Rattus norvegicus: one gene and its partners. The protein of the gene in region 1 binds, or shares a complex with, the protein of each later gene. Links are inferred from orthologs where the notes say so. Each region holds a gene or a part of one and is shown in the gene's direction. Other genes may lie near its edges. The genes, in order: Abl1, Crk and Sh3bp1.

What was found.
Region 2: the proteins of Abl1 (region 1) and Crk are in contact, whole or in part, in an NMR structure (PDB 1JU5), measured with the Homo sapiens proteins. The link is inferred for Rattus norvegicus from reciprocal best matches to the Homo sapiens genes ABL1 and CRK. Residues at the interface, in NP_005148.2 of Homo sapiens: Tyr70, Phe72, Asp77, Asn78, Thr79, Asn94, His95, Asn96, Gly97, Glu98, Trp99, Trp110, Pro112, Ser113, Asn114, Tyr115; in NP_058431.2 of Homo sapiens: Pro44, Asp46, Asn63, Gly66, Pro67, Arg68, Pro69, Pro70, Val71, Pro72, Pro73, Ser74, Pro75, Pro80, Gly81, Ser83, Pro84, Ser85.
Region 3: the proteins of Abl1 (region 1) and Sh3bp1 are in contact, whole or in part, in a crystal structure (PDB 1ABO), measured with the Mus musculus proteins. The link is inferred for Rattus norvegicus from reciprocal best matches to the Homo sapiens genes ABL1 and SH3BP1. Residues at the interface, in NP_033724.2 of Mus musculus: Tyr70, Phe72, Ser75, Gly76, Asp77, Thr79, Asn94, Glu98, Trp99, Trp110, Pro112, Asn114, Tyr115; in NP_001303613.1 of Mus musculus: Ala607, Pro608, Thr609, Met610, Pro611, Pro612, Pro613, Leu614, Pro615, Pro616.

What each region holds. Positions count from the first base shown.
Region 1 is NC_086021.1:35,468,629-35,477,625, forward strand, and holds part of Abl1 (tyrosine-protein kinase ABL1), read left to right. Parts: intron 1-1,208; coding exon 1,209-1,393; intron 1,394-3,791; coding exon 3,792-3,944; intron 3,945-5,477; coding exon 5,478-5,567; intron 5,568-6,062; coding exon 6,063-6,227; intron 6,228-8,997. UniProt on the Homo sapiens protein: Non-receptor tyrosine-protein kinase that plays a role in many key processes linked to cell growth and survival such as cytoskeleton remodeling in response to extracellular stimuli, cell motility and adhesion, receptor endocytosis, autophagy, DNA damage response and apoptosis.
Region 2 is NC_086028.1:61,023,877-61,033,528, forward strand, and holds the start of Crk (adapter molecule crk), read left to right. Parts: upstream 1-5,040; 5' UTR 5,041-5,079; coding exon 5,080-5,320; intron 5,321-9,652. UniProt on the Homo sapiens protein: Involved in cell branching and adhesion mediated by BCAR1-CRK-RAPGEF1 signaling and activation of RAP1.
Region 3 is NC_086025.1:112,334,554-112,344,319, forward strand, and holds the start of Sh3bp1 (SH3 domain-binding protein 1), read left to right. Parts: upstream 1-3,704; coding exon 3,705-3,763; intron 3,764-3,803; exon of another isoform or gene 3,804-4,925; coding exon 4,926-4,968; intron 4,969-5,212; coding exon 5,213-5,317; intron 5,318-6,354; coding exon 6,355-6,431; intron 6,432-6,588; coding exon 6,589-6,700; intron 6,701-6,793; coding exon 6,794-6,870; intron 6,871-7,288; coding exon 7,289-7,433; intron 7,434-8,014; coding exon 8,015-8,083; intron 8,084-8,216; coding exon 8,217-8,307; intron 8,308-8,797; coding exon 8,798-8,943; intron 8,944-9,533; coding exon 9,534-9,645; intron 9,646-9,766. UniProt on the Homo sapiens protein: GTPase activating protein (GAP) which specifically converts GTP-bound Rho-type GTPases including RAC1 and CDC42 in their inactive GDP-bound form.

The sequences.
Region 1 (8,997 bases):
TCGTAGAAGACCTTCTTCCTGGTAATTTTGGCTCCCTCTGAAACCAGGCATTCCTGAGGCCAGCGCTCGGTCACTCATGACCTCTCTCTGCCTCGGCTTAGCTTCATTGTGTGGCTTTTCCTCCTCCCGTTGTGTTTCCTTGTCCACCAGCTGTCACTGGGCTTTGGGATGGCTCCATGGCTGGAGAATTATATACATGCAAGCCCGTTGCTGTTTTTAAAACCCAGAGTGTTTTGACCTTCAAGTGTACCACAATTATCTGGGTTTGCATGCTTTGCTGGTGGAAGTGGCTTCCTAGCAGAGTGACAACCTGTGCAGGAGGGAGCCTGAGGGAGCCTGATGGGCTTGGCCCAACTCCGTCATGCAAGATGTTCTCCACGCCACTGTGGTGACCTTTCCTACCCAATTAACTCAAGTGTGAAACCTCGACATGAGATTTCATGGCCAGGAATAAGTAGCATGTGTGAAATGCTGGCAGCCCCTCGGAAGACAGATCTTTTTCTGCTCCACGAGAGCCCAATCCAAATGCTCCTGTCGCTCAGCAAAGTGTAGCCTCTGATGCTGCAAATTGAGATTTCCTGACTTCTGGCTCGCCTTGCATGGCCAGCCCCGTTCCCCTTCCATTCACACACTAAAATGCCTTCCCAAAATCCTATTAGGCACAACGCTGTGTGTTTCATTTCTCTCCCGCTGCTGGTGATCAATCTGTAGCATGCAGTCATTGCCCGAGCTCCCTCATCCTCTCATTCCTCCGTTCCCATTTGCCTCAGGATTTCATGGTTAACATCCATGAACCAGAGATTAGACCCTTCCTCTCTTGGAGATTCAGGAGGTGATTATACAGGAGAGTTTCTCAAACACACTGGAGTCTGCATCAGGAAGCAAGAGGAAAGTAGGGATACCACAGCTGCCCAAGGCACGCTTGGTTACCGTCTTCGTGTCATGGATGAGGTAGCCAAGTTCCAAGGTAATTAACAGGCTCCAGGTCGTGGGGCAGAACTGCCCCATTTCCACTGTGTCTGCCCTGCCCGTGCTACACAGCCTGACTAGTATTTGCTGAGGAATGGTCGCTCCACGGCAGGGCATTCGGAAGCTTCTGGGGGCCACACTGAATCTTCCTTGTCAGCATCATGCCTGTCAGTAGTAGGGAGCGACACAGGAAGGGTGTCAGCCAGGAGCACCCGCAGATGACCCTTTTCTTTTCTCAGAGACCTTGCTGCCCGGAACTGCCTGGTAGGGGAAAACCACTTGGTGAAGGTGGCTGATTTTGGCCTAAGCAGGTTGATGACAGGGGACACCTACACAGCCCATGCTGGAGCCAAGTTCCCCATCAAGTGGACTGCACCCGAGAGCCTGGCCTATAACAAGTTCTCCATCAAGTCGGACGTCTGGGGTAAGGGCCAGATCCTGGCCAGTCCTGGCCAGGGGACTCCCCTTCTACTTCCTTCACTCTTTACTGCCACACCTCCATCTCTCCTCCATCACCACAGTCTTTCTGGTTTGTTTCTGGCTTATTTTAAACTCCTGTTTGTTCTTTTCTTTAACAAATAAAGCAAAAGCCACTTCTAGAATGATCCAGAATAGCACCACCTTCAGGTCTTCATTCCATATTGCTGCTTGGATTTGATGATGCCAGAGCCCACCCTGGGGCGGCATCCAGAATCATATTCTCTGCAGAAAGCTGGTCACTTTGGCTTGGGCTGTAAACAGGGCACTTCATGTGGAAGTGTCACCTGTTGTTTATTTTCATTTTTAAAGAGCTTCTTTTTGGGGGTTGGGGATTTAGCTCAGTGGTAGAGCCCTTGCCTAGCAAGCGCAGGGCCCTGGGTTCAGTCCTCAGCTCCAAAAAAAAAAAAGAACTTTTTTTTCTGAGATAGGATCTCTCTATACAACTGCAACTGTCCTGGAACTCAATCTGTAGGCAGAAATCCACCTGCCTCCGCCTCTGCCTCTGCCTCCCAAGTGCTAGGATTAAAGGTGTGCTCCACCACTGCCCAGCTTTAAGAACTTTTCATGCCAAGAGTAATCAAAGAAGGTGGAGTTGAGTAGTGAGCCCTGTGCCCCGCCTACTCCCTTTCCTCTTGTTATTTTAAAGCAAACTCCAGACATGATTTTGCACACACACATTTCAGTATTTGCCTCACTTGGGAACCAGACATGCCTCTCTCAATGCATTGATGTGTCCTGTGTGTCTTTATCCTGGGTCTGCCATCACTGATTGTATTTCCCTGCTGGTCATTTATTGATAAACTCTGTCCCTTTTCTTTAGACTGTCTAGATTCTAGACTGTGTTCACTGTGTCTCTGTGCTGTGATCTGGGTCAGGTCTGGTTAGCTGCTGACATTTGAGTTGACTTTTCTTTCATTCAGTACGTTAGCAGAGGCTGATGGGTTGTTTGTTTGTTTGAGGTTTTTTTTTTTTTTTTTTTGTTTTCTTTTGTTTCGGAGCTGGGGACCGAACCCAGGGCCTTGCGCTTGCTAGGCAAGCGCTCTACCACTGAGCTAAATCCCCAACCCCTGAGGCTGATGGTTTTAGGTTGGTTGATCTATGCTTGAGTTTTCTCCCTCTGGTACAGTGATTCTCAACCTGTGGGTCATGACCCTTTTGACAACCTATTTCCAAAAATATTTGCATTATAATCTATAACAATAACAAAATTGTAATTATGAAGTAGCAATGAAAATAATTCGATGCTTGGGGTCACCACACCATGAGGAACCGTATTAAGGGTCCCAGCATCAGGAAGGCTGAGACACCGCTGCACTGGAGGGATACGGTGTAGCAGCAATTGATGGTCAGTGGTATTCTCAACAGGCTGTAGCCATGGAGTATAAAAGGAAAAGCCTCTGTGTCCTTGGTTGTCCAGTGGTAGACTTCGTATAGGAGTGGTGGGTTCAGAAACTGCCTTTCATGTCTCCCACTTTTCCAAGTGCCCTGTGCTGGTGGCAGTTGATTTGCTAGTGTTTTGTGGTGTCACTCTGAGTTCTTTGTTGACACATTCCTGTGTTCCAGTATACTGTGCTTCTTCTCCTCATCTCTGGCCGTCTCCTTCCTTGTCCTTTGACAGTACCCTGTAGTCTTCCACAATATCTGTGCTCCAGGGAACAAGATAGTCCGGGCTTCTTCCCTGTCTTAGGTCTCAATCACCTGTTTTTCTAAGGAATCCTGGTTCTTAGTGGGAAGAAGGATGCCACGACTTTGACAGTTCACAAGATTTTTACAAACTGTTGCAGCTGGAAGGGACCTTGGAAGTAATCTCACCTTCAAACAACCCACGGCCCGACAGGCATGTGGCTACAGTCACAGAGCTATGCTCAGAACATGGCAGCTGACTTAGAGCCCTATGCTGCCTACCCGAGGGGGACCCTGTGCCCCAGGAGGCTCACCTTCCCCTCTCTCCCTTGCATGCTTTAGAGTAGCTTGAGTAAACAGCTTTGCTCTGTCCTACCTCTCCTAGGCTATTACCATGGAGAGCCTGGTAACTGTCAATGCTGGGACTGCTCTGCAGGTCTCTCTGCTGCACAGCGTGGAAAATGCCTGTATGTCCTGTGTGTGTTGGGGGCGGGGTGTGTGTTTGGGTGTTTTGGTATGTATGTGTGTGATATGTCTGTTTGGTTGTGTGCATGCTATGGCACACATGTGACTGTCAGAGCACAACTCTGTGGACAACTTCTCTCCTTCCACCTTTATGCCGGGTTTCAGGATTGAAAGGTCATTAGCTTTGTGCAGATGCTACCTCACTGGCCAATGCTCACACACCCTGATAGTCTTCCTCTCCCTCTTTCTTTCAGCATTTGGAGTATTGCTCTGGGAAATTGCTACCTATGGCATGTCACCTTACCCGGGAATTGACCTGTCTCAGGTTTATGAGCTGCTGGAAAAAGACTACCGCATGGAGCGCCCGGAAGGCTGCCCAGAGAAAGTCTACGAACTCATGCGAGCATGTGAGCCTCCCCAACCCATTCAGCACTACTCTGAGGAAATTGCACAAAGCCATTCCAGTGGGCCCTGGCACTCTGTCCCTGTGTTCCCAAGCCATCCATGCAGTGTGACTTTGAGTCTTCCGTGCGCTTATTCCCAGATGTAGTACCTCTGGGTTGGTTTTGTCTCCCTCTGGGACAGCTAGTTTTGGTTTTTGTTTGGTTTTTGTTTTGGATCAGGGTCTTGAACTATGTAGCCCTGACTACACAGTGACTCTCCTGCTTGAACCACACAAGCTCGAGGACTACAGGTATGAGTCACCATGCCCAGGTCGCTTTAAGTTCTTTAAGCATAGAGAGGGTTAGATGTCAACCTGGGTATTATTAGTACAGATCCCTAGGTCCTGCTTCCAAATACCTGGCTACAAATCGCTCCAGATGATAGAACTCTGGTGTTTGTATTGTGCGAGTGTATGAGCGCATCTGTGTGGTGTGCATGTGTGCACATGGCTGTATCATGTGTTCATGTGATCATTCCCTCACCTTTTTTTCCTAGCATATAGTGCTGCTGTCTGTATACTTAGATCTTCCTCACCATGTTCCCTACCTTCATTAATGCTGCTGTCTAGCATTTCAGTTAACAGTTTGAAGCATCCACTCATATTTTACACACTTGTTTGCTTTAATTATATTTTTATTATTTATTTTGTTTGTTTGTTTATGGGGCATGCATTCTACAGTGTACAGTTTTGAAGAGCTGATTCTCTTTTTCTACTGTGTGGATCCCAGTGGTCAAACTTAGCATCAGTCTTGGCAGAGTGTGCCATTTTGTGGCCCTGTGTTTGCTGCTGCGTATAAGGCAGACACACACGATTAGCCTCGTCTCTACATGTAGCACGATATTCCTAAAAGCTGGGCCGTAGGTCCAAAGAATCTGTGCTGTGATAACAAACCAGTGATGTTGCAGACGGTTGTGAGTCCCATGGGTACTGGGAACTGAACCTGGGTCCTGTGCAAGAGCAGCAAGGCTCTGAGCTGCTGAGCCACCTCTCCAAGCCCTAGTCCTTTTAGTCTCGTTGTCATGCTATTGGTGATACAGGCTGTGGTCTCAGTGCAAGGTAAGCTGAGGCAGGAGTATTGCTTGTCAAACAGCCCAGACAGTAATGAGGTCTAATCTCAAAGAAGCAAGAGAGATGCTCGTCTGTGCTAATGGGGACGGTAGACACTGATAGCATCAGTAAGGATGGTGACCGAGGCAGGCTGTTGCCTTGTTAACTCCCTGTCTATCACTGGGGTTTGGAGAAATGTTTATAGATGTGGTTTTTATTATCGGTGTCTCTGGGATTTTGCAAACAGTATTACTGCCTGTATATGATGTCTTCTTAATTCTTAGTGTCTGTCAGAGGACACAGGAGTTTTTGCCATTAGCCTGTCCCAGCCTCAGCCATCAGCAGGCTTGGAATGCCTCTTTCATGTCCAGACTGCTCCTTGGGTGTGGCTAGTTCTGGTTTGTTAGCGATGCTCTCCGGCTGCTCTGACGTGGCCTTCTCTGTCCAGGTTGGCAGTGGAACCCCTCTGATCGGCCCTCCTTTGCTGAAATCCATCAAGCCTTTGAAACCATGTTCCAGGAGTCCAGCATCTCAGACGGTAACATGCCTCCCAGGGGCCTGCAGTGGGTTGAGGGTTGGGTTGAGGCTGGACAAGCCTTCACTTCAGACCTGGTACCAGACAGCACTCTTCAGAGGCTTTGGTGGTGGCTCTGTGTCTGTCAGGTGCAGGCATGCAGAGTTCTAGAACATGCCAAGAGCTGTTTCTTCTGCTTTGTGTTCCTTTTCTCTAACTGCATAAATCTTAAGAAAAAGAGAATCCCAGGAACTGGAGAGCTAGCATGGTGGCTAAGAGGACTTGGGGTCAGTTCTCAGCACCCAGATGATGGTAACCCACGACACTAGTCACAGAGGATCCATTACCAGCTTCTGGCCTCTGCACCCATGTGGTACACAGACATACCTGCAGGCAAAATGCCATACACATAAAAAAAGTAACTTTAAAATAAATTAGAAAAAGAGCAAAGAAAAAAGAATCCCTTGCAATCTGGCATCTTTGCTGATGACTACTGGGTTATGTTTATGTGGTCCTTAGAGGTGGAGAAGGAGCTGGGGAAACGAGGCATGAGAGGAGCCGCCGGGAGCACCCTGCAGGCCCCAGAGCTGCCCACCAAGACCAGAACCTGCAGGAAAACCGCTGAGCAGAAAGATGCACCTGACGCCCTGGAACTGCTCCACACGAAGGGCCTGGGCGAAAGCGGTACGTCCGCCCTTCCCATCCCTCACCCCTCAAACCAGGCAGGCAAGCAGAAGCCGTCAGTGGGCCTGGCACAGAGGGCATCAGTCCCTCCTCAGTGGTCCAGCCCAGGGAAGAAGATTTGCCTCTTGCCCAGGGGAGCCTTTCAGCAGTTGCTTAGACAAGCTGAAAACTGGGACTCCTGCCAAGAAAGCACATCCACCTTTGCTGTGCTCTTCACAGCCCTGTGGGCATCTTCCAGGGCAGTCACAGCACTAAACAACATGGAGCCCACGGAGCAGTCCGGGCTCAGTCAGCACTGAGTTCCGTGTGGTCTCTAGAAAGGCTGTCTCCGTGAACTGTCTGCAGGCTCAGTTAGGGCACTGGAGCTGGGGAGATCTACAGGGATAGTATGACAAGTGTCTGCAGCTTCTTGCATGCCGGCTGTGCCCTGAGTAAGTGCCAGGACAACAGCATCCGCCTCTCCTGCAGACCCACTAAAGTCAGTTGACCTGGGGGCTGCTCGCCCGTCCCTGAACTCAAAGGGCCCCGAGGGCTCCCATCATGGGCTGATGGGCCGTCGGCCTGGTTGTGTGGGACCAGGCAGGATAAAGTTTGATTCTGCTAGGAATTCATGGGAGGCATTGCTCAGCAGACTCCACAGTTCTGTTGTTTAAACAGTTGTAATTCTAAACCTATACTCCTGCTGATGGTCAAACCTACAGAGCATAAAAGGGCTCTAGGGACTGTCTCAGTCAGGGTCACGATTGCTGCCGGGAAGCGCTATGACTGCAGGATGCAGGAGGAAAGCGGTGGTTCCTTAGCATATGCTTCCACACTACAAGTCATCATCCACTCCAGTAGGACAGGAACTCAGTCAGGGCAGGAACTGGAGCAGGAGCTGATGCAGAGGCCATGGAGGGTGCTGCTTATTGCCTTGCTCCCTGTGGCTTCCTCAGCCTGCTTTCTTATAGAGCCTGTGATCACCATCCTGGGGATGGCCCCACTCACAATGGGCTGGGCCCACCCCATCAGTCACTAATTAAAAAAATGTTCCAGGGTTGGGGATTTAGCTCAGCGGTAGAGCGCTTGCCTAGCGAGCGCAAGGCCCTGGGTTCGGTCCCCAGCTCCGGAAAAAAAAAAAATGTTCCACAGGCTTGTCCATAGCCCAGTCTTATGGAAGGGTGTTCTCATTTGAGGCTCTCTGCTCAGGTGACTGTCACTGTGTCATAAAGCTATCCAGACACAGGTGCTAAAGGAGTGTGTTTGGAAGTTTGCATGCGAGACGAGGGCGTGGCTCAGTGGGAAGTGCTGAGTAGTAGTCAGAGTCACATGTGGAAACACGTCCGAAACTCCCGGTACTCCTCAGAGACAGGAGGGGGCAGCAGGAGACTCCTCAGAAATGTAAGGGCCACTTAGTGTTATACACACAGCAGTAAACGACAGACACACTACCTCAAACAACCTCGGGAGGGAGAACTGATGCCTGCGCTTATCCTCTGACCTCTACAGATATGCTGTGGCATGTGCACACACATGTGTGTCTTAAGAAAGTTTATATAAACAAGAAAGTCCAAATTGTAGAGCCACTGGATCATCTCCCTCCCCTGTGTCGCCTGTGTCAGCTGCAGCACACAAGCTGTGCTGTCTTCCCCATCGGCTGCCATGCTGTCAGGTCATTGGCAGTGGGAAAGAGAAGCTGCTGCAGGAGCATCGACTAGAAAAGGCCAGTGTGGGCTGGAGAGATGGCTCAGCGGTTAAGAGCACTGACTGCTCTTCCAGAGGTCCTGAGTTCAATTCCCAGCAACCACATGGTGGCTCACAACCATCTGTAATGAGATGCTCTCTTCTGAAGTGTCAGAAGAGAACGACAGTGTACTAACATATAAATAAAATAAATAAATTAAAAAAAAAAGAAAAGAAAAAGCCAGTGATGAGAGAGCAGTGATGAGAGAGAGAGAGAGAGAGAGAGAGAGAGAGAGAGAGAGAGAGAGAGGGAGATTGTTCCATCAGTGTCATTACTGAAGTTTTGGGTAGGTCATCTGCTGAGCCAGGAGTGCCCCAAACATTGTGCTCTGGGTGTGGCTCTGTGACCCAGTAGAGACCCAGGTCCTCTGCTTGCCTCATTCTGATGCTCATGTCTACCAGTCTTAGGACAGCTGCACAGTCTACCTCCATCCTGGAGGCTGACAGAAGGAAGCCTTGTACAGTTGGCTGCAGTGCCTGACAGCACAAAGGCTTCTTTTTTGTTTTGTTTTTCAAGACAGGGTTTCTCTGTGTAGCCCTAGCTGACCTGGAACTCTGTAGACTGGGCTGGCCCCAAACTCAGAGATCTGGCTGCCTCTGCCTCCTGAGTGTAGGGTGCAGGCACCTCTGCCCAGCCATGTCCCTCGTGTTTTAAAAATACCCATGTGAAGTTTCGTAAAGGTCATCTTGCCCTGTTGTCACAGCAGCTGATTGTCATGCCCCCGTGGGACAGCTGATGTCTTCCCCTCAGCAGGTCTGACTTGGCATTGTCATTCTGCTGACAGTGGAGGGCTCCACAGCTTTAACAGGCTTCAGGATGAGGAAGGCAGGGTCATTCCAGCCCTTGACCCTCTGGGTTCAGGGAGAGAGACTTTTACTTCTACTGACGGTGACAGGGGTCATCATGATATCGATGACAAGGCCGAGCCGTGAGGAGTGCCACAGCTGTGTCTTCCGCCCTCCAGTGGTGCTGAGCTCCGAGCTGCTCGTGCCATGAAGGCCGAGGGTGCAGACACGCCATGCGGAGCCTCCCCACAGTGGGTCGCTA
Region 2 (9,652 bases), on another chromosome or scaffold:
TACTTTTTTTTTTTAAGGTTTTCTCACTTTATTTTATGTGTGTTTTCCAAGTATGTTTATATGTGTACTACAGGGGTGCTTGGTGCTCACTGAGATGCAAAGAGAACATTGGATCTCATGGAACTGGTGTTGTGGATGCTTGTGGGTGCTGGGAATTGAACTTTGCTCCTACCCACTGTAGGAGCAAAGTGCTCCTAACCACTGAGCAATTTTTCTGCCCCTACATTTACCTTTTTACTTTTAAGGGGAGCGTGGAGCATGGTGGGTCATACCTACAATCCCAGCACTCAGGAAGTTGAGGCAGAGGGTCTCCAATTTAAGGCCAAACCCGGGCTACATAGCGAGACCTTGTCTGAAAGAAGAGAGGGGTGGTCTTAAAATGTAACTTGGATGCAAAAAACTCCAGCATGCACAAAGCCCTGGGTTTGATCCCAAGACCTGCACACAAAAACAGAAAGGAGAGAGAAGTTAAAGAGGAATCATTGTAAACCATGAAGACCAACTTGGTGGATGGGACATCACTTTTTCTTGGTTCAGAAGTTCTACATAGCCTTGGCTGTCCTGAAACACAATGTATATTCTGGGCTGGCCTCAGACTCACAAAGATCCACTTGCCTGGGTCTCCTGAGTACTGGGATTAAAACCACTATGCACAGCTTACTTTAGAGTGCTTTAAAAAAAGATGCATTTATTTATTTTACGTATATGAGTACACTATTGCTGGCACACCAGAAGAGGCCACTGAATCTCATTACAGATGGCTGTGAGCCACCACTGTGTGGTTGCTGAGAACTGAACTCAGGACCTCTGAAAGGGCGGTCGGTGCTCTTAACCACTGAGCCATTTCTCTAGCCCAAGAACTTTCTTTCTTTCTTTCTTTCTTTCTTTCTTTATTTATTTTCTTTTTTTCGGAGCTGGGGACCGAACCCAGGGCCTTGTGCTCGCTAGGCAAGCGCTCTACCGCTGAGCTAAATCCCCAACCCCGAGAACTTTATTTTTTATTTATTTGTTTTTGGTTATTTTGAGGCAGGATTTTTCCGTAGCCCTGGCTGTCCTGGAACTCACTCTCTAGACAGGCTGACCTCAAACTCAGAGACCCACCTGCCTCTGCCTTCCAAAGTTGAGTGCTACCGTGGCCAGTAAGAACTTTAATTTGAAAGCACACACACTTTTTCCTCCTGACCTTGAGAATTAATACTTTTTTAGCCTTAACTGTCTGTTGCGCTAACTTCATTACACTTGTTATCTATTACCACAACCACTCTAATTAGCACTACAATTAGCAGAGCATCCCAAGTTGTTACATAGCTTATGATGCAGCTCTGGTGACTTTAGGAGACACAGAACACACAGAGAAGCAGACTGTCCTGTCTACTCTCTGCTTCTCTGGCACTAGAATAAGGGCTGGCTTTCTTTTAGTCGAGACTCCTCGGAGGGTTGGATGCACTTTGCTCTTGGATTACAGAGTCTTCCATTTCTCTTCTCCTTGCATCTGTGTCTCTCAGGGAGATCGTTCCCTCTCTTCCTTCCTGGCCCCAACCCACACCAGGAATCCTTCTTTAGGAGGTCATTTCCTTTGTGGGGAACATCTCAGGCTTATCAAGGAGCAAAACCTACCATTGTGACTGAAATCCTTTGGCTCCTTAGGTACAAAAGAAGGGGAGGGAAGAAAGGGCTAAGGGTCAAATGAGAGTGCTAAATTCTCCTTGCTGGGTGACCTCTGACTCCTGCTGGCTTTGGGGTTACAGATTCTTAGTGTCGAGGAAGGTCACACTAGAGAGGCCATGTCTCCTCTACTGATGGAACTTCCCTGTTTATTTTGCAGTTCAGTTATTAGATGTGTTTGAGTGTTTTGCCATCAAGCATGTATGTGTACCACATGTAAGTTCGATGCCTGTAGAGGTCAGAAGAGGACAATGGATCCCTGGGAACTGCAATCCCCAGTGGTTGGACGGCTGTGAGCTGCTGTGTGGGTGTTGAGAATGGAAACCTCAGATTCTCTGCAAGAGCAGCTGCTCTTTTTTTTTTTTTTTTTTTTTTTTCAGAGCTGGGGACCGAACCCAGGGCTTTGCGCTTGCTAGGCAAGAGCTCTACTGCTGAGCCAAATCCCCAACCCCTAGAGCAGCTGCTCTTAAGTGATGAGCCCAGTTGTAATTTTTTTTTATGTTGTTTTTACAGACAGAATCTTAATAATTAGGGCTGGCTAGCTTGGAACTCACTATGTTGACCAGATTGGCCTCAAACTTGCAATGCTTTTCCTGCTTCTGTGAATGCCAAGGATACCGAGATGGGCAGACACACTTGCTTTAGGAGAAAGCTTAATTGTTTTTGTTAATTAAAATATTTAATGGTGGTGGAATATGCTTTAATCTAGCACTGGGGAGGCAGAGACAGGCAGATCTCGGATTTTGAGACCAGCTTGGTTTAGAGAGTGAGTTCCAGGACAGTCAGGACTGCACAGAGAAACCCTGTCTAGAATTTTTTTTTAAAAAGATTTGTTTTATTTATATGAGTACACTGAAGCTGTCTTCAGATATACCAGAAGAGGGCATCGGATCCCATTACAGATGGTTGTGAACCACCATGTGGTTGCTGGGAATTGAACTCAGGACCTCAGGAAGAGCAGTCAGTGCTCTTAACTGCTGAGCCATCTCTCCAGCCCCTAGAATTTTTTTTAATTTTATGCAATATATACTAGTGTTTTGCCTGCGTGAATGTCTTTGTACCTGTGGGAGTCTAGAAGAGTATGCTGGACACTCTGGAAATGGAGTTTTGGACAGTTATGAATTGTCATGTGGGTGCTTGTATTCAAACCTGGTTCCTCTACAAGAGCAGCAAATCTTAACTGCTGAGCCTTCTCTCCAGCCTCTGAAAAGAGTATTTTCAAAGAAAAAAGAAGGCCAGGTGTGGTGACACACACCTTTAAGACCCTTAATTCTACTTGAGAGGCAGAAGCAGGTGGATCTCCATGACTTTGGGGCTAGCAAGTGTGGTTTACATAGTGAATTCCAGGCCAAAACAGGTGAGCCTCCATCTAAAAAGAAAAAAAGAAATGAAATCAATGAGGAGGTGGAGGGCTGGTGAGATGGCTCAGCAGGTAAAGAGATTTGCTGCCAAGCCTGAGGTCCAGAGTTTTGAACCCCGGTACCTACGTGGCAGAAGGAAAGAACCAATTCCCTCAAACTGTCCTCTGACCTTCACACACAAATGAACAAATACATAAGTAAGTAAATGTAAAAATTATAAAAGAATGTGGGAAACAAAGAAGATTTTGCCATAGTGGTGCACACCAGTAATCCCAGTAGGAGGATCAGAAGTTCAAGGCCATCCACAGCTCTGTCATGAAGGAGGCCAGCCTGAGATACATAAGACTATGCAATGGTAAATGAATACATATTTCTTCTTGGGGAGGCAAAGCCAGGCAGGTCTCTGCCAGTTTGAGGCCAAGCTGATGTGCCGTCCAGAACTGCATAGTGGTACCTTGTTTAAACAAACAAGCAAGCAAAACAAATCTCTCTTTCCTTTTCACTTATCCTAAGAGCTGGGTTTGGACTTTCCCAGAGTCTCTGGTTAAGGTCTTGCCTTGAAGCTCAGCTGTCCTGAAAAGGGAGAAAGGGTAGCCCTTTTTCCCAAAGGGCCAGAATTTACACTGAATGGCCTCTGCTGCTGGTTCCGGTGACTAAGCTAGACCAAGATGAGTCACTGATAACAGGGAAGGTGCCCTTTCCCCTGCTGTCTCTCCCAGGGCTGGCTCAGGCTATGGGTGGAAGTTCTAGAAGGCCTGAGCTATTGACTAGGACAAGGATAACTTTAGTTTTGTTTTGAGACAGGGTCTCACTATATACAAAACGCAGTAGTAGTGGCTAGGCAGAGGTGGTGCATACCTTTGATCCCAGCACTGGGGAGGCAGAGGCAGGTGGATCTTTGAGTTCAAGGTCAGCCTGCTCTATAAAGTGAGTTCCAGGAGAGCAAGAGCTATCAGAGAAACCCTATCCTGAACACCCCACTCCCCAGTATTTTTTCATTAAAAATTTTTTTTGAGATAGATGATGATCATGAAGGAAGTGAAACTAGGAGATTCCTCTGGCTACAAATGAGAGTTTAAAAGGATCTGGCTGGTTGACATGGGAGCTCCCATAGAGAGAACTCCATTGCTTTGCCTGGCTGGACATTTTGTTTTCTTTGCCTTAAGTACCCTTCCCCACTTGCCATTCAACACCGAACCATTCAACCTACACCATCTCATCTGTGGACTCCTTGTTCTTATTTGCTTTCGTTTTATAATATAGGGCCTGAAACACAGTGATCCTCCTGTCTCAGTTTCCTAAGGGTTGGGATTACTGTCATAGTCACTTTACCCGGCCCTTGGATTCCTCTAGGATTACTTAGTTGATTTCCTTGTGTCTCTGTTTCCCATCACAGCAGACATTAATGGTTTCCTGATCCCTCCCACTGGTCTGTGAATTCGGTGACTTAAGGCTCAGTCTAGGTCAGTACTGCACCTGCAAGGCAAATGTGTTATCTATGGCTACTCCTAGATAGCAAGAACTTCGACTGACCTCCGGGGAAACCGAAGGAAACACCGGGAAAGACCAGCTTGTTAGGGAGCTTTGAGGGCATCCTGGGACCACATCATCTTTTTTACTCCAGTCCTTTTACTGGAGCTGCTACCTGTAGGTCCTGGGAGAAAGACCGCCTCTACCAATCTGTCAAACACCAGTTAGTCAAACACCAGTCAGTCTGAAGATTGAGGCTCCGCCCCTTAAACCTAGACTCCGCCTCCCCATCCTCCGCCGTTGGGGTTCTGGACCGGGCGGCGACGCCCATGAGGACGCATGCGCACTGCGGGCCCCAAGGACTCCGTTTCCCTTCTCCCAATGGCGGGCGGCGGTCCCCTTCCCGGCAGCCTCCCTCGGGTAGAGAGCGCGTCATTTCCGGTGGGGAAGGCCCGCGGCTGCCGCCGCCATTTCGGGCGCTGCTGGGAGGCTTACACCGGAGCCGGTCCGCTGGGCGGCGGGCGCCAGGGCTGGAGGGGCGCGCGTGCCGGCGGCGGCCCAGCGTGAAGGCGCGGAGGCGGCCATGGCAGGCAACTTCGACTCGGAGGAGCGGAGTAGCTGGTACTGGGGCCGCTTGAGCCGGCAGGAGGCGGTGGCGCTATTGCAGGGCCAGCGGCACGGGGTTTTCCTGGTGCGGGACTCGAGCACCAGCCCCGGGGACTATGTGCTCAGCGTCTCCGAAAACTCGCGCGTCTCCCACTACATCATCAACAGCAGCGGCCCGCGCCCTCCAGTGCCTCCGTCGCCCGCTCAGCCTCCGCCGGGTGAGGGACAGACGGGCGGGAGGCCCGGGCGGGGGTGAAGGCCCTAGAACCCTGGTCGGCTGCAGGAGGGACGTGGGCAGAGAGGGCTGGAGTGAACCTGGCGGGGGAGCTGCCTTCTGACCAAGCTGGTTCCCACCGATGAGCGGGATTGTGGGGGAGGAGGAGCTGCTCACCGAGGCCTCTGGGTGTGCCTTGGGAGCCGGGGAAGGGGAACTGCTGCGGCCCCGGGGTGGGGCTGGGCGCCAGGGTCAGGCCCAAGGGCAGGGCAGGGCAGGGCCAGGCAACTTGGGGACAAAGAGTTAATGGGGATGTTGCGGGGACATCATTTGGCAGAGATGCCCAGAATGGATCTGCTAATCCTACAAGTGGCTTTTAGGCTTGAAACGTTTCCTGCAGTGTTAGAGCTGGGTTTGGCCATACTCCCCTGGTGGCCTTCGGTAGGAAGTCACCACGTACTTGGCTGGCTGGGAGGGATGGAGACACCCTCAGGAAGCCGGTCAGCTTTTTCCTTTCTTGGGCATTTTTCCAAAATCTTTTTACCGTGCTCTTCCCTTGTGGAAGGTGGTGAACTAAGTGACTTGGTAATAGAAAAAAAGCTTTCTGTGACCAGCCCAGCGTAATTGAAGCCTAGCTGGCAAATTGTGTCCAAGAGGTTTTAAGTGTCCAAAAGACTGCCCGCTGCACGTAGAGTTTCTAGTTTCAAAGTGATTAGTGGAGGAAGGTTTTTTTTTTCCTTTAGGAAATAAACCAAGCATAGGCCAGGGAGAACAACCTTGGAAGTGAATGGAATTTCATTCTTCCTGGGCTTAAACAGTGTCAGTCAACGTACTTCTGGGTCTTTTCTTGCTAAGTTGGTGCTGTGGTCAAAATCTTCCAGGATATGAGAGCAGACCTAGCTGGCAGATACACCAAGAATAATTATCCCGCTGTGTTTTCCTCATCGAGGACCATTGAGTTGTAATTGTCTCAGCTGTATTATTGCAGTTGTCTTGGCAATGTTAAGGAAATTCATGCACTTCGTCCTTGAAGTTTGTGAGATGCACAGTGATTCTGAGATTACTGTTGTCTCTGTGTGTTGGCACCAAGCTTCTTGCTTTCTGGATGTTTGAAGTGCAAGCTTGTTCCTCCTAGAGCTGAGCTAATCTCATGAATGGAGACTCCCTGGTTAGCCGTTTAGTAGACCTCCTTTTAGGATCATCCTAATTTAGACTTACTCCCTTTGGCCACAAATGAGGAGGTAGAGGTGGGATAAACAGTTCTTGGTGTTGGCACACAAGTAAGGGGAAAATTTGAGTACTGAAGTCTTCTTAGTCTTTTTGTGTCTGTTGGTTTAATAATATAAAATCAGATACAACACAATTGCCCTAAACATAGTAAATTCTATTTTTGTGCTATCTGTAAAATAATCTGTTGTTTTGTGTTAAGGGCAGTAGTAAGATGAAATGTTATTGTTGAAATTCAATTCTCAGCCAAGTTTCATAATTCATGCTTTTAATCCCAGCACCTAGGAGGCTGAGGCAAGATTTTACAAGTTCCAGGTCATCTGGGAAACTTAGCAAGATTCTGCCTCAAAATAAAAAGTTATGTTAGGGGGTGTGACTAGGGATATAGTTGAGTGGTAGTTTATTTGCCTGACATTTGGGGAGGCTAGGTTTTATTCCCAATAGCTGGGGGTGAGGGACTCGGTCCTCAGTTTTCTCCTTGTTTGAAAATGTGGGACTAGCATCAGGCAGGCTTGTGGTTTTATATCTCGGTAGCTCCACCTTTTCAAAATAGGTGTTTGGCCTAGGAGAGGAGAAGATTGCCAGTTTGTGGGTTAGGTGTGGAAAGTTCATTGGCTTTGTGGCAATTTGTTCTGTCGTGTTCCCCATTTTCTCTGTAGGACACTCAATTCACTTGCTGTCTTTATGATGGTCACTTAATCGCTGTTCTGCCATCCATTAAACTGTTTTTCTTTTGAAGCCACACAGGAATTACTTGAGTTTTAGAGAGACATATATAATTTTAATAGTTTACACTTATTGACTGACTATTGTATGCTACATGCTTTGCTAAATGTGCCTTATATAATTCACCATCAGTAAAACAATCCAATGAGTGAAATTCTGCAATCTCCATTTATTAAAACATTTTCATTTGGAGGTGGGGAGAAGAACTAGAAATCCAGTAACCTGTAACATTTAGCATATAAACCAGAATTTGAACTAGACAGTGTGACCTGAGAACTGACTATTGTATAATTTTGGTATTCTTTGTTTATTTGCTTTGGAATCCCTGGGGTGCACATAGGGAACTCCATTCTTTTGTTTTGAAACAGGGTTTCACTCTGCAGCCCTAGCTGGTCTGCAACCATATAAACTAGGCTGGCTTTGAACTCAGGAGAATTCTTGCTTCTGCCATCTGAGTGCTCTGAGATCCCGCAGAGTGGCTCAGTAGGCAAAAGCACAGCTTTGCCAGCTTGAGGGTCTTGTTTGATCCTCAATCCCGGGGTTGGATAAGAGAAGGAACACCTCAGAGTTGTCCTGACTTCCACAGACTCACATCAGTCATGCACATACTGTAGTTCTGGCTGGCCTAGAACTGATTACACTTGTGTGCACACACTGTAGAGGCATGTGGGTAAGACAGGCCAGGGATTGTTGCATTATCCCACTTATTTTTTGAGATAGAATCTTTTTGTAGTCCTGACATGGGACTCTCTGTGTAGACCAGGCTAATTTCTTTCTTTTTAAAGATTTATTTATTATGTACAGTGTTTTGCCTACATGACAGAAGAGTGTGCCTAGATCACATTATAGATGGTAGTGAGGCACCATGTGGTTGCTGGGAATTGAACTCAGGACCTTTGGAAGCATAGTCAGTGTGTTCAACCTCTGAGCCATCTCTCCAGCCCCCAAACCAGGCTAATTTCTCCTGCCTTTGTCTCCCTGTTAGGATGAGCCATCGGCCCAGCTCAATGACCCTATTTGAACCTAGCATAGATGTTTAGCTCCCACAGATGATCTAAGCTATGATGATGGCCTAGGAACGTCTTTACTGTGCCCCAGAGCTATAGGGGGAAGTCTGTTGGAGTTTACTGGTCATGTTCTGCAAGGTGGGCTTCAAAGAGAAGACTTGGGAGAATTGATCCACTAATTTCCTCCACTTGAAATGATCGAGGACTAGACTTTGACTGATAGAGGCCTCTAAACTGAATGAGAAGTTGGGATGTACCCAGCTTCTGTCAATTGATAGAATTTTCATTCTAGCAAGAATGAAGGCCCTGGTTTCAATCCCAGGTCACACAGACCAGGCTTAGTGACACAGGCCTGCAATTGTAATCCCAGCATTTAGGAGATAAAGCTAGATTTTCTCAGGCCGGGCGGGGAATTAGAAGCCAAAATCCAAACTTGAATGAAAATACACATGTATAATTTCAAGACTGGGTCTCTAGTTCTGGTTGTGCATTGGTGGTTTGCCTGCATGTATGTTTGTGTCAGGGTATTGGATCCTTGGTACTGGAGTTACAGCCGCTGCTCCCGACTGCTGAACTATCTCTACAGCCCCACCTGCTACTTCTTACTTGTATAACTTTGGACACTTTTTTTAAAAAGTTATTTATTTATGTAAATGAGTACACTGTCACTGTCTTCAGACACATCAGAAGAGGGTATCAGATGGTTGTGAGCCACCATGTGGTTGCTGGGACTTGAACTGTCCACAGAGCTATCTCTCCAGCCCCCAATTTTTGTTTTTTAAAGTTTGCTACAATTTTTTCATTTGTGAAAGTTGGAAAATAGCAATACTTCATAAGGTGAGCTATTGTAATGAGTAAATGGATTCATATGCAATATGTAAGACACTTGAATGTGGCAGGCATATTTCATAAAGACCCAGGTTATAAATTTAATCTTAAGAATATAATGATGTTAGAAGATGATTCAAGTGGAAGGAAAAGCCTCTCAGCTGTGAAAGGTTCTCGACACGCACAATGTGGTTGGTAAACACACAGTGTCTTAGTAATGCTGGGTAGAAAGGGGTAGAGGGCTTGAGGTTGAGAACCTTGGGTCTACAGTGTTTCGATTGCTGTTACTGTTGCCTAGTAGGTGGGTGAGTCTCAGACCTTAACTTGGGCTGGGGATATAGCTTACAGTGTTTGCTTACAAGGTCCTGGCTATGGTCATCTTATCTCATTTTGGAGATGGATGGTCAGGGTATGCTCCAAATGTAATGGTTCCAGGGAAGTTCTTTCTTGATTTTCTTCTTTAATTTTATGTATATGGTTTTTTGCCTACAAGTGTAGATATATGTACATGCAGTGCCTGCTGAGGCCAGAAGAGGGCATTAGACTCT
Region 3 (9,766 bases), on another chromosome or scaffold:
GGGAGTCCTGCTTCAGCTCCACCCCAGGGTTCCTTGAAGCCTTTTGAACTGTGGAAGTAGGGGTGGGCAAGGAAGTCACCAAAGCCCCAGGAAAACACACCTTGCCTGGCTGCTGTGGGCAGAAACCAATTGGAGGCTTTCGAGTATAGCCACAGTCAAGCTGTGTGGCAGCGGCTCAACTAGTAGAATGAAGCCAACGACCTCCACCCCGGCCTGCCTACCAGCTGCCCTGACCACATCCGCCCAAGTCACATTAGCAGATGCCACCCAGAGTGTCATAGGGATTGCCGGCAAATCTGTGTGAAGACTGGTCAGTTCCTCAGTGGCCATCAGGAAGGCAGGAGCAAGGGCCAGCCTTGAAGGAGTTTCTAGGCAACAGTGTACACAGCAGAAAGACAGCAATAATGCTTCCTAGGACGTCGGTCTGCCTTCTGACCTGGCCTCTACTGCACAGTCAGTGGGGTGTGCACATCTGCCAAAAGGAGGCAAAGATACCGACCTTAGGGAAGAATGACCCAAGGGACACATCAGTAAATTCTGGCCTAAGGCAGCCATACAAATGTCAAGGGCAACTAAGGCAGGGGTAGTCAAAGCTCTTCTCTCCGTCAGGAAGACATTTGAAAAATAACAGCAGACAATGCCAGGCACTTTTCTGAGAATTTTACACGCTAATTCCTGTAATCCTATTAAGTTATGTTGTTTGTGGCTGAGGGGTGAGCTTTCTTATCCAAGGTCTTTCAGTTTGTGTGCTGATGAGAAAACCCCCCCTGCCCCACACCCCAAGCCAAATGGCTGTTCTTTGGGGATGCAGGTAATCACAGATCTGATACCGTGAGCCCCAGAGGCTGAGATAGATAAACAGGCTCATAGTTTAGGGAAGGGCCCAGGGAGGGGTTGGCTAGTGACCTCTGAGGTACTTTTGTGCAGTTCTAAAGTCCATGGTCCTTTGAGTGGTTCTTGGCCATATATAACTATAATATCTACTACTGGAGAGACAAGAGCACCACAAGTTCAAGACTAGTTGGACAACTTTGTGGGACTGGCTCAAAAAAAATAAAAAAGGGGGCTGGCAAAACAGCTCAGTGCGTGAAGGTTCTGCCATCATGCATGAGAACCTGAGTTTGAACCCCAACGTGGTGGAAGGAGAGAGAGAACTGACTCCCATCCATTGTCCTCCGACTGCCCTACGAGAGTTGTGATGTTTACACACATGTGTGCACACGCACGCAGTCAATAAAAATTGTGATGGAGCTAGAGAGCTGGCTCAGAGATTAATTTAAGGCTGCCCTTCTAGAGAACGAGGTTCGATTCCCAGCACCCCCATGGTGGTTCACAATAATCTGTCCTCCACTGCATCTCATGGTTCAAAGACACACATGCAGGCAAAACACGTGTATGCATAAAATTAAACTTTAAAAAAATTTAAATTTACTAATCAAAGCTTCTGATTACAACATTCTTTGACGGAATCGCCTGTGATCCAACCTTCAGGGCTTCCAACCCTCAATGATTCAACACCAAGGTCACCCAGCCAAGAAGTACAGCAACTCTATCTGCTCAGATCCAGAAGGTCCCCAGGTCTGGCTGCAGAGAAAGCCAGAACTGGAGACAGGAGGGAGGGGCTAGCAAGGGCTTGGATGGGCTGGTAATACACTCTGGTCATTTCCAAAAGACAGAAAAGAAACCTGCTATTTCAGCCCAGGGAGCTGTCCCCTCCCCAGGCTAGTTAGTACTAGGCCTGGACGAGCCTAGGAGGCATAGAGTATAAGCCAGGCCAACCTAGTGGTACCTTCCCGACCAGCCGACCAGCCATGGACATGAAGGCAGAAGCACCAGAGATCAGAGACTTCCCTAGAGGCGAGAAAGTGCTTCCTGGAGCTGGACTCATCAGCTTCCTAAGCCTCACCCAGTAGAATGTACCCATTGCCAAGGGAGGGAAAACTGAAACGGAAAGAATGTTTTAGGTAGGACCTGGATGATGGGGGGGTGGGGGAAAGGCTAGGACTAGAAGCAAGATATCTCAAGTCTTTACACATTAGGAGGCCAGCAGCTCTAGACCACTCTAGTATCCCCCCAAGGCTGGCCCCTCTCTGGAATCTTCTGCCATCTCTTCTCCAAACACTGGCCAGCAGCCTTCTTCTCATTAGTAAATGAAAGGTAAGGAGTCTGTGCTGCGGTCTCAACTCCCCACCGCAGAGCCAGGATTCCACTGCTGAGGAGCTGTTCCTGGCTGGGATGTTCTGGTTCTTGCCGCTGGCTTCCCCAGTCTCCATAGGACTTTTTTTTTTTTTTTTCCCGGAGCTGGGGACCGAACCCAGGGCCTTGCTAGTCAAGCGCTCTACCACTGAGCTAAATCCCCAACCCCCAGGACTTTTTTTTTTCTTTCTTTCTTTCTTTTTTTCCAGAGCTGAGGACGGGACCCAGGGCCTTGCGCTTCCTAGGCAAGCGCTCTACCATTGAGCTAAATCCCCAGCCCCTCCGTAGGGCTTCTTCTTAAATGAGTAAAGTGGCTGCCTGCTCCCAGTGAGTGCCTGTGCTGAGTACAAGATGTCTTGGGCAAAGGGAATGTCTTCAAGAAGCACACCAACTGTCTACCCCCACACAGTAGGTGCTCAAGTGGTGCCGGCTCTGAACTGAAACTAACCGAGCAGAGCAAAGCTCAGTGTGGTGTTCAGGGCTTCCTGTAGCTGCCCCTCCCCCTCCCCAAGCCTGAAGGGTGTACACTAGAGTCAGCTTACTATTGCCTACGGGCTCTCTGGCCCTGTAGTTATGAACACCTAATGTATGCCCAGGCTGGTTTTCAGCCGAGTATTTCGACGAGAAAACTTCTATCTGGTTTGGGGGCTCAGAGCAGCACCCATAGTAAGGCCTGACAAGAAGGAAGGGCAGGGACCAGGGACATTTGCTAGAAGAAATGAGAGTTATGCAGATAGAAGAAGCTGTCCAAGCTCAGGACCCTTAAAGTGTGGAGCGGAGACAGGAGTTCTAGGGCTGAGGAGCAGGCTGGGGTATCTTGTTTACCCTGTGGCATAGACTGGTCCAGGGCAGTTGTCCTATCGAGCCACTATACACAGTGAATGTAGAACTTTGGACATTAGTCCCTGGTGGTCCCCAGGTACCCCAAGTTCCCAGTCAGTTTTCCAGCAGGCATGAGGGATGGTCAGGGAATGGTATGGTGGAGAAGTCTCCAAGGAGCATCTCCTAGTGACTGGCCTGCACAGGTTCCTGAAGGCCTGTCTCTGGCCTGTCCCTTCTAGGCAGCCTTTTTTTCCCTTTAAGAGAGCAAAGGTTGTTTATACCCAGGGCGGTGGTGGCAGGAGCAGCTTACCTGCTTCCCGCCACCCGCCGCGGCGACCGGGCAGGGTGCGGGAAGGAAGAGCCCGCACTCAACTGTGGACCGCAGAGAGACAGACCGGCGGACACTCGGCAGGAGAACGGCCCGGGGGTCGTTGTGGCCCGGAAGCAGTGAGAGAGCGAGACTCCAAACTTGGAGAAAGGAGTGACCTGGGGTCCGGGGGCGGAGTCGTGAGCGGGGGAGGAGAGCGCCCGCGCCAGCGCCAGCACCAGCCGGAGGAGCGCGCCGGCCCAGGAAGCCAGAGCGCCGCCCACCCATCCGGGGCGAAGCGCGCGGGGAAGCAGGCTGGGCCGGGGGCTGCCAGCCTCAACCCCTTAGGTGACTCCTCGGCTCCCAGCCCGGACCCAAGATGATGAAGAGGCAGCTGCACCGCATGCGGCAGCTGGCCCACACGGGCAGCTCGGGACGGTGAGTGTCACCCGCTTCTAGCTGTGCTGTCGTCTCGCAGGACCTGAGCGGGCGCTGGAGAGTGGGGAACCGGTCAAAGAGGTCGAAGACATCTGGATAGCGGCCCTTCGGCATTCCAGAGCCCTGACCTGGCTCCCTGGGGTCTGAAGCCACTGTGGTCGTACAGGCTTAGCTGGCTTTTGCAGGAGGTTGGGGGGTTGGGGGGGGCACCTCCATTCCTGATTGAAGAGGCTGCAGAGAGCAGAGAGCAGAATGCGCCCTGAGCCAGGACTCTGCCTGGAACCTCATTTGTCCCCTCTGGACAATGGGAACAATTAACCACCTCTAACTGGAGGGAAGGGGAGGAATGGAGCGAATCGGGGGCGCCCCAGACCCTGGGGGAAGGGACTGGCAGTGTTCTGGCTTGGGGAGGTGGGGCCTGCTCTGCTTTGGGTGTCCGTCCCCTCCCCCAGCCCAGGGGCCTCCTGCCTTTTGGTCCTGCTTCTGCTTTCGCAGGCTCAGGTAGAGACACCGCTTGGTCTTCTCGGTTCCCAGCTCCACAACTATGGGAGCGGAAGTTTGGGGAGTTTCTCGGAGCTTTTCTTTCTGTCCCTCTTCCCCAGCCTGGGAGTTCCCCATTCTTTGGGCCCAGAGAGGTGACTGTGTATCCAGAAACTTGATAGTCCTACAGTGACACAAATACTTACATGTACCTACGGAAGCCAAGCCACTTTGCCCTGAACCTATGTCCCTATGTATCTTTGGGCAGAGTCCCTGGACCTGCCCACAGCCGCAGTTCAATGTCGTGTGCCTGTGGGCCTGGCCACCCCGAGACCAGCTTCCACACTTCCCGTTCTGGGGGCCAGCTTAGGCCTCCTCTTTCCGGGCCAGGCAAACAATTTGGGGGATGGGAAGATGAGAAACTTTTCCTCTGTCCCAAAGTTGGGCCTTGGGTAGCTCCCTCCTGCCTTTTTGGTGTCATGGGTCCACCCTCTCTCAGGACACAGCCCTGGGTGGAGGAGGAAGCAGGCATGGAATGTGCCCCAGCTCCCATGTGGATGGGCCACCCAGGCTTGGCGGGTCCTGGAAGCAACTTGGGCTCAGGTTCCATATGCAGGGGATAGAGGGAGGCAGTGGGTATCCTAACCCAGACTGACTCAGCAGAAGCCCCCTTCCCCCACAGCACCCCTGAGACTGCCGAGTTCTTGGGTGAGGACCTGCTGCAGGTACGTGCCTGGGCGGGCTGGGCTGGGAGGCAGGTCCGTGCAAGCTGTCAGTATAGAGGCTGGCAGGCAGGGACAGCAGTCAAGGGCCTGGTTGTGTCATTCCTTGCTGGCCAGGGGAGGGGGGGTGGGGGGTGGGGGGTGGGACAGGGGAAAGGGGTCCTTGTTCTGGTGGAGAAAACAGAGCAATGAGAGAGGGTCCCTCACAATATACAGCCCCCACATGTCCCTCCCCTGTACCTCCCAGGTAGAGCAGCGGTTGGAACCAGCTAAGCGAGCAGCCCACAATGTTCACAAAAGGCTGCAGGCCTGTCTGCAGGGCCAAAGCGGGGCTGACATGGACAAGCGGGTGGTAAGTGGGATCTCCGGGAGGAAGAGACCTGTGAGGTGAAGGACGGGGTGGGAATGAGGCGCTCTGGGTGCTCTGTGGCGTCTGAGCTTTGCTCCCAGCTAGTACGCCCCCCAAGTGGTCTAGGTGGGCGGAACACCATCTGAACTGGATGGAGGATGCTCACTGCTACCCAGCAGGCAGCGTTTTCTGACTCCTGCTACTCCCGTTGCTAAGACTGCCAATGCATTGTCTCCCCACTGCTGGCAACGGCCCTGGCGACACCCCCTTGTACAAGTCACCTGTGTATAATGGGAAACCGAGATCTAAACTTAGCAGCCCAAGATCACACAGGTGGCAAGTCACAAAAGTGGCCCTGGGGTCCCTCTGATTGTAAATGTAGTGTTTTCTATAACTCCTGGCGGAAGTCCGGGGATAGTTAAAAATTCACGTGGCCGGAGCTGGAGGATCCTCTCAGCAAAGCACTTGCTCTTGGAGAGACCTGGGTTCAGTTCCTATCACCCACGAGATTCACCACTGTACAGTCGCAGGGACTCCGACATGCTCTCTAGTCTGCTAAGAACACCAAGCATGCCTGCCCCCTCCCTGCTGCCCCAGAAGAGGGTCTGGGTGTGAGGCAATAGATACCTTGGGGAGCTTGGGCTACAGAATAATCGGATTAACCACCTAGGCCATAAGGCTGGGAAAGGAGGTTAGGCCATCCCACCCTAGCCACAAGACCAGCTCTTTGCAGGGGTGTAACCTTGGGACAGCTTACTACTCCCTCCCTCTGCGTAGTCTAGTCTCCCTGGGATTGCTCATTCCTTCTTGTCCAGTCAAGTAGCTTCTAGAAGGGAAAGAGGGAGGGATCCCAGGTCTGTGTGAGATGTGTGCATGAGTTGGGGGGGCACACCATCATCATCCAGTTTCCCCCTATGAATGTGGGTCTGTTCAGTTGGCTCTTCCCTCTGCTGATGTATGGGTTTGGCTGGGTGCTGTGGGCTCAGGTAAGGTGGAGGAAACTCGCAAACTCAGGCTCACTCACCCTTCCCTCCCTGCAGAAGAAGCTTCCCCTCATGGCTCTTTCTACCGCAATGGCTGAAAGCTTCAAGGAGTTGGATCCCGATTCCAGCATGGGGTGAGCATAGTTGGGGCCTGGCTCTTCACTAAAGAATGCCAGGAAGCAATGAGGGGGTCAGATCAGCCAGGGTGTCTACCTGGCTGGGTAGGATGGATGACCAAGCTGGGGTGAGGGACCAAGGGAGCCTTGGCCCACTGGGAATCTCTGTCCACAGGAAAGCCTTAGAGATGAGCTGTGCCATCCAGAACCAGCTGGCCAGAATCCTAGCAGAGTTTGAGATGACCCTGGAGAGAGATGTCCTGCAGCCGCTCAACAGGCTGAGCGAGGTGACTGTGCACCCCCACGCTCCCAGCTTCCCCAGCTTCCTGCTGTCCCTGCCCCCACCAGACCCCCTGAGCCCTCCCTGTGCCTGCCCTCAGGAGGAGCTGCCTGCCATCCTCAAGCGCAAGAAGAGCCTTCAGAAGCTGGTGTCTGACTGGAACACCCTCAAAAGCAGGTGGGCACCTGAGTCTAGGTCAAGTCATAGGTCGAGGGTTCTGCAGGCCCCGCTGGGTCCTTGTGGCCATGCTGGTCCTTGAGAACACATGTGGTAAAGGCATGTGTATGTGAAGGTGTGCATATGTTCCCTTGTGCCACAGGTGACCCCAAACCAGGAAAACCACTAGTCTCCAAGATCCCTAGATGGTTCTAGAGCTCCCTCCTATTCTGTATTCTGGAGCCAAGTAGTTGCGATCACCAGGACCACCACCAGAAGGAGGCCTAGAGCACTTTGGCCTAGTCTGGGCAGAGGCCCAAGGAATTTCTATTTTGCCTCTGTAAACCCTAGAGTCCTGTGTGATTACGTGTATGGAGGGGACACTTAGCTCTGGCCCTGCAATGGGGCCAGTGACCACCCACTTTGGGACCCTCCCCAGGCTCAGCCAGGCAGCCAAGAACTCGGGAAGCAGCCAAAGCCTGGGTGGTGGCTCAAGCAGTCACACCCACATGGCCACTGCCAACAAGGTGGAGACGCTGAAGGAAGACGAGGAGGAGCTGAAGAGAAAGGTGGAACAGTGCAAGGTGAGATGATTTGGGATGTCTGCATAGACGACAGGTGTGGGTCCATTTTACCGACGGGAACATTGAAGTGTGCGGGCAGCACTGTGGGTTTTTTTTTTTTTTTTGTTTTTTGTTTTTTGTTTTCTTTTTTTCGGAGCTGGGGACCGAACCCAGGGCCTTGCGCTTGCTAGGCAAGCGCTCTACCGCTGAGCTAAATCCCCAACCCCAGCACTGTGTTTTAAACCCAGGTAGAATTTATGTAGTGGGGCACCACCCAGGACCTCTGCTATATTTATCGTGTATGTTAACAGCTGGGATGTGGTTGTTCACTGGATGCTTAACGTTGAATGAATGAATGAATGAATGAATGAATGAATGAATGAATGAGTGGTGTTTGCTGAGTGAATGAATAGTATTTGTAGGATGAATGATTGTTGGGTGTTTTTGCTGGGTAAGATAATGAATGAATGAGTGAGCAGTGTTTGCTGAGTAATGAGTGAATGATGTTCATGGAGTAAAGCAAGAATGAATGAATGAATGAATGATTGCATGGCGAGCACAGGATTCCCCGCCTCACCCATCCTCTCCCTTCTGTCCTCAAGGATGAGTACCTGGCTGATCTCTACCACTTCTCCACCAAGGAGGACTCATATGCCAACTACTTTACTCATGTGAGTCCATGGTCCAGTTCCAGCCACCAGCACCGCTGGGGGCCTCCGAGAGATGGCGGGTGTCTGTTCTGGAGACGCTGGGAAAGTCTCCACTTTTCTCACTGGTCCTGGGGGATGGCCTTTGTCTCCACAGCTCCTGGAGATTCAGGCTGACTACCATCGCAAGTCACTAACCTCCCTTGACACGGCCCTAGCTGAGCTGAGGGACAACCACAGCCAAGCAGGTGGGGACATGAATGAACCAGCCTCACCTCTGACCTTACAATGCTAAACGTTTGCTCCTTACTAGGCAGAGTGACAAACACTTTAATCTGGGGCACTTGGGTGGTGGAGACAGGTGGATCTCTGAGTTTGAAGTCAGCCTAGTCTACATAGAGAGTTCCAGGAGACTACCCTGTCTTGAAAAACAAAAACAAACAAAAAGTTTGCTCCTTATCCTGAAAGGCAGTAGAGAGTTGTGGAGCAGGGAGCAGGCTGGATTAGGTCTTCGGGGGCTGGCTTTCTACTGCTGTGGAGGATAGAGAAGGAACATGAGACCTTCTAGAAGGTTGGGATCTGGGCTAGGCAGAGCAGTGGGGGTGGGCAGATCCAAGATGGTTGTGTGTGTGGTACTGAAACAGGGTGGAAGGCGGATTCCTGGAGGTGCCCTGTCTGCCCTGGCCCTACTGCCTGGGGCAGAAAGGACCAGGCTACTGATGTGTCTCATTCCCACAGACTCCTCCCCCTTGACGACGGCTGCCCCCTTCTCCAGAGTATATGGGGTGTCCCTGAGAACCCACCTGCAAGATCTAGGCCGTGACATTGCCCTGCCCATCGAGGCTTGTGTCCTGTTGCTGCTGTCGGAGGGCATGCAGGAGGAGGTAGGAGCTGAGACATGAGGGGTGGGGGGAGTGACAGGGCTCCATGCCACCCCTTGCTGGTACCCATAGTTCCCTTCTCTGAGAGACCTAACCTCCCATTGCTGACCTGGACTCTGCCTCATTGAATAGGATTTCAGGGGCCTTGCACTGTCCCACAGATACTGAGCAGTCTTTGCTCTAAGATCCTCTTGGACTCTGTTTGGCAAGGGGGAGAGAGTCAAAGATTAAATGGACCAAGAATCATCTGAGGAACCCGGGGTCCTCGGTTCAGTCCATGATCCATGCTGGGCTTTTCCTGAAAATAGGCCTTAGGTGAAAAATGACCCAACCATGAGTGGATTGCTGGCTCCTCACCAACCATGCTGAGCCTTCTTTCCCCTTCCACCCTTAACAAGACTACTTCTCCACTGATCTCCCTGCCCCACACACTTCCCAGTTCTGCCCTCTGCTCAGAATTCCAGACCTTGGGAGTTGGGAGGGCCCATAGACACCATCATATACTGACCACCACCGGCGGGGACACTGAGGCCGGGCAGCCTGCTCCTGCTCTGCCCTCTGTGATGCACAGCCTGTTCCTTCCTGCACCCTAGGGCCTCTTCCGTCTGGCTGCTGGGGCCTCTGTGCTGAAGCGCCTTAAGCAGACCATGGCCTCAGATCCCCACAGCCTGGAGGAATTCTGCTCGGACCCCCATGCTGTAGCAGGTACCTGATCCCCTGGGAGTTCTAGGCAGAAGGGGGGACTGGGGCAGAGCTATCTAAGGTAACACTATCAGAGTTTGGCTTTAGGCCTGATAATGGTACCAAAGAAACACCACTATGGGGC